3 linked regions of the Oryctolagus cuniculus genome follow. The main gene of each other region encodes a partner of the protein of the gene in region 3 in a complex. Links are inferred from orthologs where the notes say so. Each region holds a gene or a part of one and is shown on either strand. Other genes may lie near its edges.

Region 1 (3,250 bases), on a different chromosome or scaffold from region 3:
AAATTTTTTTTTTTTGGCCAACAATCTGGCTTAGGCTTGCTGGGTTCATCTCCTTGTCAGATAGGAACTGAAATAAAGGTTGGCTTCAGGATGAGGGAATAAGCCAATGGCAGGATAGGATTCCAAGTGGCCCCCAGTTTAGGCATGAGGTCTCCCAGGGCTGACCTAAGCCTCTCTTTTGGTGAGTGAGAAGGGCTGAGCCATCAGTTCCAGGCCTGGACGCTGGGACAACCTGGCAGTCTCTAGCTGAGGCAGATGCCCTGGGTTCTACCTCAGCTGGTCAGTCCAAGGGGACAGCTCCCAAACGCATGACTGTGAGAGCACTTGCCTTCTGGATGGTAGCTTTCAACCACTCCCTTTCCAACCCTAGATCAGGAAGTCTCTTCAAGCTTTGCATCCTGGTCCACTGCAGCATCTGGGGATGGACCCTAGAGCAAGACTGGCTCCTCTGAGAGCCCAGAGCTTTGTTAGGGAAATTGGGGGGTGGGGGAGACCACAATGAAGCTTATTGTCCCCTGTCCCCTCTTATAGAAAACAAAAGGTTCCCAGTCTCTGGGGAGCCCTAGCCCATGCCCAACCCCTAATCCCCAGCACACAGGGAGGAGCCGGGGCCACTGGAGACAGGAGGTTTTATTGATGCTGATGGGGGTAGGAAAGGCCCCCAGGAGCAAGGGGGCTGAGTCAGTCAGCGGATGCGTAAGGCCTGGGCACATGGGGGCAGGTTAGGACACATTCATATTCTCAGGATTCTATGGCTCCTTCCTGGGGGAAGGGAGAGAGCATCTGGGGAGGGAGGGGCACTTTTAGGAGCGGCAGGGGCAGAGGTTAGAGATGGCTGAGAGCCCCTAACCTGAAAGGAGACACCACAGGCAGCAACAACTGTGTGGAAAGCTGGATCAATTGGTCAGTAGCAGAAAACGGGGAAAGGGGCACTGGACTGGCCTCTTGGGGAGGGGTCCAACCTCAGCCTGGGTGAGCTCATGAGAATACCTGGTGTTCCCAAGCAGGGTGGGTGAGGCCCAAAGCCCCTTCCCCTGCAGGCCTCCTTAAGGAGAAAAAAGGCATTCAGGGAGCCCCCTGGCAAAGGGTGCCAGAATTAGTCCTTAAGGCACAGCTGGGGGCAGACAAGGCACCAAGGCACAACTGGTGGCGGGGGTGGGGGTGGGGGAGCAGCCTCCAAGCTGAGTGCCAGGGTCACAAGAGGACACAGGACCGCCCACGCTTGATCGGTGTGGGGTTGAGCACAGCCCGGACAGCCTCGGCAAACACTTCCTTGACGCCGTCCTGCTGCAGGGCCGAGCACTCGAGGTAGCGCACAGCGTGGATCTGCTTGGCCAGTGCCTGGCCCTGCTGCGGTGTGATGGGCGCCTGGCCCTGCTCCTTGAGGCGCCGTAGGGTGTCAGGCTGGGCTCTCAGGTCCTTCTTGGTGCCCACCAGGAGGATGGGCACGTCGGGGCAGTGGTGGCACACTTCCGGGTGCCATTTGTGCCGCACATTCTCGTAGGAGGGCGGGCTGGCAATGGAGAAACAGATGACGAAGACGTTGGTCTGAGGATAGGAGAGTGTGCGGAGGCGGTCGTACTCCTCCTGGCCCGCAGTGTCCCACAGGTTCAGGTTCACTGTGCGCCCATCCACTGCGCTCTGGGCACTGTAATTGTCGAACACCGTGGGGATGTACTCTTTGGGGAAGGCATTGGTTGTGTAGCAGATGAGCAGGCACGTCTTGCCCACTGCTCCATCACCCACCACCACACACTTGATGCTCTGCATTGTGGGGGCAGCTGCTGCAGTGGAGGCAACGCCTCCTCCCTCTCCTGGGCCCCTCTGGGTATAGTGACCTGTGGACAGATGAGAGGGATATTGTTGGTTAGAGAGGCCTCTACCTACCGAGAAGAAAGGATGAAGGCAGACAAAGGGAAACCAAGTCCTGTTCCCTTAACCTAACAGCAGCCCCCACCAAGACAGACATCAGAGAGACAGATGTGAGGCCTAGAGACCAAGTGAGATGCTTCAAGAACACAGTCCAACATGGGGGGGAAGTTCATGAGCTCTGGCGCCAGACTAAGGTCAAACCCTGGTGCTATTTCCCAGCAGTATGATCCTGGACAAATTACTTACCTTCTCTATGCCTCAGTTTTCCCATCTATAAAATGGGGGATAAGATAAAACCTACTTCACTGAGTTATCATGAGGACTATTTAATATATGGAAAGTATTTAAGTATCAGGTATTTTCCTGTTTCTCTAGGCAATGTAGACACAGGAGAGTACGTAAGGATCTTCCAGTTCCTCTACTAATATGCAGCCTTCCCACTCTGGGATGTGGCCGGGGTGGAACCTTTCCCAGCTCAGGGTCCACCCCACACTGATGTTTCAAATTCTCCAAACCTGACATCTTGGCTACTGAGTATGAACCAAAGAGCGCAGTGAGAAGCCCACTAAGGAAGGAGCACTGCTGCCCTATGCCAATCTAGAGTGCTCTGGGATGGGGGGACAGGCCACCGCCATCATTCTTGTAAGCATGAAAAGCCCTGTCTGGCAGGAGAATGTTGGAGATTGAGCTGTGGCTGGGACCTGGACTAGAATCTGGCTGTGTTCCTTCAAAGCAAGTCAGGAAGGGATGAACAGAAGGGCAAGACAAAAACTTAACTTTTCTCCTCAACGTGTCCCTTTCCTGAACCATGAATATGTACCTATGAAGAATATCAGGGCCTCAGGTACAGAACACAATGCCACCAAAATGCCATCACTGGGGCAGCATTGTAATGCAGCAGGCTAAGCTGCTGCCTGCAATGCTGGTATCCCATATGAGCATCGATTCGAATTCTGGCTTTTCCACTTCCAATCCAGCTCCCTGCTAGCACACCCAGGAAAACAGCAGAAGGTGGCCCAAATACTTGGGCCCCTGCCACCCACGTGGGAGACCTGGATGGAGTTCCAGGCTCCTTGTGGACATCCGAGGAGTGAACCAGCAAATGGAAGATCTCTTTTTCTGTCTCTGCCTCTCTGTAACTCGGCCTTTCAAACAGATAAATAAATGTTTAAAAAAAAAAAAAAAAGTCATTGCTGAGAACTGGATACTAAAGTCTGGTGGGCAGGGATTCTGTAACCATAGCCCTACCAGCTAATTATCTATGACCTTCGCAATATTTTTAAGTTCTCTGAGCCTCGATTTTCTCCCCTGTAAAATGGTGATAATCTTGGATATTGCATTCAAATTGCTTAGAGATGAGTTAATGTGAAGAAAGTTT
Region 2 (4,261 bases), on a different chromosome or scaffold from region 3:
TACTTATCACTCTGAGTGTCTCATGGCATCATTAGTAAAACCTTCATTTACTGACTGCTTACTAAATTACCTCATTTAATAGTTGCCCTGTTGATGGTTTTTATTCTATCATTATGTTTTATAGACAAGGAAATAAAGAAGTTAAGTTACTTCCCTGGGATAACCCTGCTTTAAGTTACTGGCTTAAAATTAGCTAGACCCAGGCATCCTGCTACTAATACTGCCTCCTGGAGTTCTGCATAGAATAAGGGGTTAGATCAGGGCTGTTAGCTGGCAATATAATGTGATCCACTAATGAGAGCCATGTGTATATGCTTATATTTTCTAGAAGCTGCATTTTAAAAAATGGTAATTTCAAATATATATGTGTGTATTTATATATCAGCCCACTACATTAACCCGTGACCCATTACAGTTAAAGGACTGTATTGTCATTTATTGAAATGACGTAATCAATGTAAAGATAAATTAGCACGCTAGTGTACATGCCGTTTTTCATACTAAGTCCTGTGCAGATTTTACAGTTACAGTAGGCGCATGTCTGGGGCTCAGCACCTACTTGTGGCTCCGGGCTGCTAAAAGGCCATCATCCCAATGTGAAAATTGGGGGGAGGGGGAGGGGTGCAGAATGAGCCTCACTGGGAGCATGGCCCTCCACCTTACAGTCCGCTGCCTCCTGCCAACAATTTATGTTCTTTGCCGGTTAGAAGCGACTGCACGGCAGCTGCCTATGCCTTTTCCCGGGGAGCCAATGTAGACATTTCTGAATTTGGGGAGGGCAGGCATTTCTCCAGCCACCTTCCAACAACTGTTTTTCCCCTTCTGCCAGCTGGGCTGGGAGCTAACGCGCGAGATTTCTGCTTTAAAAATGACTCAGGAAGGTTGCATGAATTAAAAATTTTTTCCTAAATGCCAAATTGGGGGGCAGAACGTCTCTTGCTTTATGCAAAAATTATGCCAAGTGAGGGAGTCCCTGGATCACTGGATTAGAAGTAAACCTTGTGACTTGAATTACGGGGTCAGCAAACGCATAGGTGACTAGGGAGGCAGAGGAAACGCTCTGCTGTTATTTTTGCTACGCCGTCCAAGGGTAGAGGCACGGCGTCAAAACAAACACACCAGCCTCTTCAAGTAGCTGTAACAGCCCACCAAAGTTTCCCCTCAAAATCCCCAACCCCTTGCCAAAAATGAACGCATATAAAAAGATGCCACGCGCTCTCGGCCTCCCGGAGGTGGCGCTACGAGGGTGACGGAGTTAATTAGTGCCTGCAAAACGCCTTGTGTGAGCTCATCGGGAAAGTCATGCTCCGCACACATATTATTTATAGCAGATCTGAGGCATGCACGGTGTTTGATATTTCCCTCTCTTTAAGGAGGGGGACTTCAAAAAGTCGTGGGCACCCCCACCCCACGCCCGCCTCCGAGGCCAAGTGCGGTGGGCAGGCCCCGCGCGCGGGCGGGAGGCGAACGCGCCAACCACGCGTGTCCGGGCGCAGGTGCCGGGGGCGGCGGCAACTCCGCAGCGTCCGCTCGGCAGGAGAGTTCGCGGCTGCTCTCGGGATGCCTTGCAGATGCAAAATGTGTCTCTGGCCAGCAGGAGGAAGGAAGAGGAAGTGAGAGCAGCAGCAGCCGGCGGCGCAGCAGCCGGCCGACCCAGAGTGTAAGTGCGTGTTCTCGGCGAGCAGGAGCGGGCGAGGATGGGCACGGGGTAGAGCCCGAGCCACACACCCCGCCGCGGCCCGGAGCTGAGCGACAGACCCCCGGACCGCGCTCCGTAGTCGCGGGTCGCTAGAGCTCTGGTATCTGGAGCCCTCGCCGCCGCCGCCGCTGTCCTGCGACCCCGGGCAGGTTCGTAAAGTTTCCTGGGCTGGCGCCGCGCCCTGACTCGTTGACCTCAGCGCGGCCGGGGAGGGGGCTGGGGCTCGGGCTCCGGGGGAGGCGTCCCGCTCCGGGGGACTCCGGACGCCGCGGAGACACTTTTGTTCCCTCCCTGGGGGCGCCGCGGCTGGCGCGGGGGTGGCCGCGGCGCTTGGCCGGGTGAGGGCTGCGGGCGCGTCGGGGCGCCCTGCAGTTGGCGAAGTCTGGGCAGAGCGGGCGGCGGGGAGAGGTGGTCGGGGATGGAGCGCAGGGCCGGGGCCCGGGAACCCGCGGGGCTGTTTCCACCTGGGTCGGCTGGAGGGGGCGCCGGCGCGCCGCGCGGCTGCCACAGGGGTGTTGGGGACCGCGGAGTGTGAAGCTGGGAGCTTGGAGTCAGGATCCCCGGGGGTCAGAGACCCGGGAAGCTGTGAGAGAGACGCGGCTGGCCGCGCCGACGCCGGGGTTTTCTCGGCACTAGGCGATGGGAGGGAATCCCCCGGCGAGCGCGCTCCTGGGCGGGGGAAGTGATGGGCTACTACCGGGCTGGGGGCCCGCAGGGGCGGCAGGGGGCGGTGTGCGCAGCCGGGAGCGCCTGGGGCTCTCGTTAGCCAGTACCCGCCACCTGGAGACGAGCCGCGGTCCCCGCTGGGACCGGGAAAGGCGGCCTGGCGCGGCCGAGGGGGGTGGTCTTCGATGGCAATCCCGGCTCGGGAGAGGGGACGCACCGGGCGCGCCTTCAGGGAAGGGAGACGGCGGGCGGAGTGCCTGGGGCCTGGAGCCCAAGCGGAGCTGGGCGGCCGCGGCCGCCTGAGTCGCTGTAAGGAAGAGAAAATAGAGAACTCAGTCGGCCCGGGGGTGCGCGCGTGTGTTTGGGGTTGGGAAGTCCGGGCTGTGCCGCGGGCGCGCGCGCGTGTGTCTGTGCGCGTGTGTCTGTTGCGCGCGCGTGTATGTGTGTGTGTGTGTGTATGTGTGCACGCGCGTCCGCCTGTGTGTGTGACCGCGGGGGAGCTCCGCAGCCGCCGACTCCCCGCCGAGTGACCCTCGCCCGCTTGGGGACCTTTTGAAGTTGGCAGCTGTTTGTTGATGACCGCCAGACCCGCTTGACCTAAGGCTGCGGGGCTTGGCGCCCCGTGGTGACCCCGCGCTGAGGGCCTCTGGACAGCTCCAGAGACTCCCTGAGTGCCTTTCATGATGCCTGCCCCCCCCCTCCCCACGCCCCCACGCCCCCACGCCCCCGACCAGGGAGGGACCTGCCAGGGCCGCTGGCCCGGAGTGATGCGAACCTTCTGCATTAAGGTTAAGGCTTGGGGAACCTAAGACAGGAGTTTGTGATTCTGGGGGGTGGGAGTGGATGGGGCCGTGAAGGAATTTTTTTAATTGTTTCAGCTTCTGTAAAATAAAAGCAATTAATGCTCTCTTTGAGAGCCCCTTGGGGAACTCGGGGGACCAGGGCACTCACACTCTCTTTATGATTGTGAAAGTTGCCAGCAGCCATTGTTAATGGCCTCCCTGGTCATAATTTTTCGCATTTTCTTTCACCTCCATGCCCACTTCTCAAGGTTGTTTCAAGGATTATTGTCACCCAGTTACCGACCTGGGGGCCATAAGTTAAAGGCTACATCCTCTGCAGGCAGGTGGCAGAATTCTTTTTTTTTTTTATAGCTGACCTTTGAACCTCGCTCTTTCTTATTGTTAACCCATGCCAAATTGTGGGCCCACTTGGCGGGTTCAGTCAAGAAGTGCACCAGAAGTTGTCACACAAAGTAATTTATTTGCAGCAAAGGAGACCACGGGGACTCGTTTCCAGAGCTGTGACTTCACCAGCTGGAGACACAGGTAGCCTTTATTTTAGGGATGGAAGAGGGGGTGTTCTTGTCATGCTTTGGGTACAGGTTCAGGAACATGCTCTCACACAGGTTGCCCATTCTGGTCATAAGGCAGAGACCTCAGTATTAAAATGACACGAGGAGTGAACTTTACTTGGTACGCGCTGACCCACCGGCCTAGGGTTGCTCTTGCAGTCCGGTCTGGACTAGGCCAGGGTGGCTGGGAGTGCATCTCTCCCGGGAATTCGATGCAAAGCCTGATAGGAACATCAGGTGCTTGTGGTGGGCTTGAGCGGGAGATGAGTCACAGTGAAGACTTTTGAGCTGCTCTGGGCATTAGCTGGCGGCATGACAGTCGATGGTGCATTTCCTGTCTCTTAAATGCGCCTCTTGCCTTCTTTCCTACTATATTTATTACTCAAGAATTTTTTTAAAAATGAGATGGACTGGTAAGTGTTGAGGAAATGATCCTCAATGCAGGGACTCTGCAGGAGCAGGGGGTTGTGTCCGGAGGGGCAAGAAGCTTGGTGGGTGTCAGGGAGGGGCAGGCTCTGGAGAAACTCAAGACCCAGTTGGGC
Region 3 (3,789 bases):
GTGGTTAAGCCACTGCTCGAGATACCTACAACCTATTTGGGAGTGTCTGGGTTCAAGTCCTGACTTCCTTTCAATTCAAGCTTCCTGCTAATGTGGAGGCAGCTGATGAAGGTTCAAGTATTTCGGTCTCTGCCACCCACACGGGAGATGTGGATTGAGTTCCTGGCTCCTGGCTTCAGTATGGCCCAGCTCTTGCTATTGTGGGCATTTGGGGAATAAACTATTAGATCTCACTTCTATCTCGCATTCTCTGTCCTTTCAAATAAACAAAATCAATGAACTAGTTAAAGAAACTTTAAGTGAAATTCTAACAAAAAGAAAACATGAAAACGAATTTTCAGATCAGCTTTGATTGGTATTATCAGGTGGCTGCTTCCCACATAAGTAAGTGCTGATTCTCTGTGCATTGGTAAGATCCAGGCTCTCCCACTCCTTACCATATGGAAATTGCCATTTCCACTGAAATTGAACTCACACTGCATCATATCAAAGAAAATGGGGATGGTGGCTTTCCGGAGCTCTACTTCAGGGGTCAGAGTGACCTCCAGGATAGGACCCACCATGGATGGGATGAATTTGATTTTGTGGGGACCTGAAATGAAAGTAAATGAAGAAATTAAAAAATCATTCCACAGTATGTAATGCGCTACAGTCTTACTCCACGGGGCCCATAAGAAAAGAAAAAGTTTGGGGCCGGCACTGCAGTGTAGTGGGTAAAGCTGCCGCCTGCAGTGCTGGCATCCCATATGGGTTCTGGTTCAGGTCCCGGCTGCTCTACTTCTGATCCAGCTCTCTGCTATGGCCTGGGAAAGCAGTGGAGAATGGCCCAATTCTTTGGGCCCCTGTACCCACATGGGAGGCCTGGAGGAAGCTTCTGGCTTGGGTTCAGCCCAGCTCCAGCTGTTGTGGCCATTTGGGGAGTGAACCAGCAGATGGAAGACCTCTCTTTCTCTCTCTGCCTCTGCCTCTCTGTGACTCTGTCTTTAAAATAAATAAATAAATGTTTTTTTTTTTTTTAAATAAGGAAAAGGTTTACATGGATCCATCAGCTCCATTCAGGAGTAGTGAAATACAGTATCCTGATAATGTGTGGATGCTACAATAACAGACAATTCACGGTCAATGTCCCAGTGCAGATGAGGGTGTGAAACCCAAAAATCAACTTCTACTTCCATACACACATATCAATAAATAAAGCTCAAGGCCTTATGGATTAAATAAAAAGAGAATTCTTATACACAGCAGTTGTGCTTGGGCCTGTTCAAGGTCACACACTCACCCAGGTTATACCACATGTCCCGGATTCTAAAGCCGATTTCCTTTCTCATGTCCCCATATCTAGGAAGAAGATCATAAACCAAGAAGAGCGTTTGCAGTAGAAATGTACTGAATATATACAAAGATATGGAAGATAAAAATAGCCCATGTCCTTCTGGGTCACATTAAGGCAGGCTGTCTGCAAGAGGTGAGACCCATACCAACACAAGCCCCGAAAGAGAACTGAGTCATATGGGGACGGGGGAACTGAATGGCAGGAGGGGCCCAGTGCTGAAAAATAACTGAGAATATGAGATTAACAAACTTACTGAAGGAAGGGAGAGTGAGAAACACTCTGGTTGCTGTGAAGCCAAGAAGGAAACGGGCAAAACAAGAAGCACAAATGAAGGTGAAGGGTATGACTTCACGGTAAGGGCACTGACAGCTGACTTCATCCACTCCTATTCAGGTAACACATACCCGACCACTGTGCTCTTCAGGGCACTCACACTGGGCAGCCCTAGACCCAGCATTCTCAACAGAGGCAATCCTATCTCCAAAGTGACGAGACTGGCTTTAAGGGGTGGGGGAAGCTTACTGTTTTTATGTATGCAGTATAGACAGAGTGCATCAATGAACAACTAATCTATCTGTAGCATTAAAATTTCATGGAAGGTATGATTTGAAAAATAATGTCTTAAAAAGGCTCCTTATCAGAGCTGATAATGAGTTCTGCTGGTTCTAGAATGAGATTCTTGGGTGGAGGTGAATCAGAAACACCTGCAACTCTGCTAAGGCACGCATACATCTGAGGCCATCCCCACAACACAGAACTGGAAGTGGGGAGGGTGAAATGATTTTGAGTACATGTTCCCAGGGAGCTCTAACACATGCCTATGGCCCATCCTACCACCACCAGTCTACCTTATTCTACTCATGCTGATTGCCCTGAACATATTTTCTCCCCAAACTTCTACTTTGGAAATGCCTACAGAAACCCATTCCATTCCAACAAAAATATCCCAATTTAGTAATAGTATTAGAAATATATGTTGTCCAACTCTTGTACATAAGGAACAATAAATGATAACTACTATTGTTATTGATACTTCTGTTGATACACTTCTATTAAAAATAAGGGAAAGCTTGAAATAAAAGTTCATTCACATTTCTATAACCTTAATATAATTGGTTTTATTTCCTAAGTTTTATCTTTGCCCATATGCATACTGATGTTTAAAAATGTCTTCACAGTCATACTTTGCTGCATGACCAAAACTAGAAGCATTAACCCTACCTAGCCACTGACAGACTTGGCATTGGCTAACTTCCCAGGTTATACTTCAGTCTTTCAAAACAAAGTCACTAAGTAAATCTCAGTCCCTCAGCCAGTAACTCAGGTGTTTAGGGAGGGGCCAGAGGTACGGGAGTATTGAGGAACTTGCTTAGAACCGAACACAAGCTAGCAAGGGAAATGGAATTCAAGTTCTGAAGTTCTCTAAATGATACATCTCTCAAGTTGCTTTTTAAACTGCACAGTCTTTGAGTTTCCCAGCTTTCAGTTGACTCTGAAGCTGACCTGAGAGGAAAGCACTAAAGTGTCCATAAATCTCTCAGGACTCTTGCACATAATTCCATCTTGAATGCCAACCCAGGAGTCTGGAGGACATTTTTAGGTTATGCTGGAGTCTTGCCTCCTCTGCCAAAGGAGTTGGCTTTTTGTGAAGCATGAGTGAGGCACTATGCCTGTAATTGGGAGGAGCCACCAGCAGATGGCATGTGTTCTTGGGGGACAGAGTGCTAGCCACTCCAGGAGCCTCTCTGCTTGTATAGATTCTACAGAAGGCATGGGAGGACTGAGGGCAGTCACACAGGGCCTTGAGGAAAGAGATGAGAATCCAGGGGAATTTGAACCTACTAAATGGTTGATTTAAGACCTACTTTGTTAACAACATCGAGTAGCCCCTAAATAGTAATTTCTGTGATAGCAACAATATTGCTCTGAATATGAACAGAAGAATCACCTTTCCAATCCTAAACAAGCTTAAAAGGACACTTACTTTTTTACAATTTTGCTGCGCTTGGCCTGTGAGAAGGTTTCAAGTTGAAGGGACTCATGGGTGAGAAATGCTACAGCCAAATGGAAGTAATTGTTCCAGAGCTATTCAAAATGAATTGCGTGGGCAAAAAGAAAAAGAAAACATGAATAAGGGCCATGATAAATCAACACCACATGGTAAAGTCATTATCAGGGATTAATGAAAGAACAAAAGAAAATCCAAAAGACATCTTTTTCTTTCTCGGGTTTCAATTACTCAGTTCTGAAGGTTTTGAGACTTAATATTGAGCTTATTTATTTATTTATTTATTTATTATAAAATCTACACTTTATACTTTACTTTTGGGATAAAGGAAAAGTGATGTGAAGAAGTCTACTTATAGTAGGTGGTTTGGCAACATGTATCAAAAGCCTAAAATTTTGCCAAACTTTTGAACTAGCAAATACTTACAGGACTTTATTCTGAAAATATA

The links. The genes of interacting proteins can lie anywhere in the genome.
Region 1: the proteins of DOCK5 (region 3) and RHOG are in contact, whole or in part, in a cryo-EM structure (PDB 8XM7), measured with the Homo sapiens proteins. The link is inferred for Oryctolagus cuniculus from reciprocal best matches to the Homo sapiens genes DOCK5 and RHOG. Residues at the interface, in NP_079216.4 of Homo sapiens: Val232, Phe345, Asn393, His394, Lys395, Gly396, Trp400; in NP_001656.2 of Homo sapiens: Ala121, Pro123, Leu126, Arg127, Arg128, Lys130.
Region 2: the proteins of DOCK5 (region 3) and ELMO1 are in contact, whole or in part, in a cryo-EM structure (PDB 8JHK), measured with the Homo sapiens proteins. The link is inferred for Oryctolagus cuniculus from reciprocal best matches to the Homo sapiens genes DOCK5 and ELMO1. Residues at the interface, in NP_079216.4 of Homo sapiens: Met1, Ala2, Arg3, Trp4, Val14, Ala15, Ile16, Tyr17, Asn18, Ser22, Gln23, Gln30, Ile31, Gly32, Asp33, Thr34, Glu39, Tyr41, Gly43, Trp44, Arg46, Tyr48, Lys56, Ile58, Pro60, Glu61, Thr62, Tyr63, His65, Leu66; in NP_001193409.1 of Homo sapiens: Ile7, Val8, Lys9, Ala11, Tyr18, Pro19, Leu21, Glu23, Glu36, Asp39, Gly40, Ser42, Asn71, Gly72, Gln392, Asp393, Leu400, Glu401, Lys468, Arg531, Glu535, Leu536, Lys539, Leu547, Gln550, Gln551, Asn554, Arg555, Asn582, Thr688.

Annotation. Positions count from the first base shown.
Region 1 is NC_091432.1:63,071,649-63,074,898, reverse strand, and holds RHOG (rho-related GTP-binding protein RhoG), read right to left. Parts: upstream 1,771-3,250; coding exon 1,195-1,770; 3' UTR 613-1,194; downstream 1-612.
Region 2 is NC_091447.1:27,806,523-27,810,783, reverse strand, and holds the start of ELMO1 (engulfment and cell motility protein 1), read left to right. Parts: upstream 1-1,349; 5' UTR 1,350-1,660; exon of another isoform or gene 1,661-1,848; intron 1,849-4,261. UniProt on the Homo sapiens protein: Involved in cytoskeletal rearrangements required for phagocytosis of apoptotic cells and cell motility. Acts in association with DOCK1 and CRK. Was initially proposed to be required in complex with DOCK1 to activate Rac Rho small GTPases.
Region 3 is NC_091433.1:48,826,830-48,830,618, forward strand, and holds part of DOCK5 (dedicator of cytokinesis protein 5), read right to left. Parts: intron 3,419-3,789; coding exon 3,318-3,418; intron 1,339-3,317; coding exon 1,280-1,338; intron 593-1,279; coding exon 438-592; intron 1-437. UniProt on the Homo sapiens protein: Guanine nucleotide exchange factor (GEF) for Rho and Rac. GEF proteins activate small GTPases by exchanging bound GDP for free GTP. Along with DOCK1, mediates CRK/CRKL regulation of epithelial and endothelial cell spreading and migration on type IV collagen.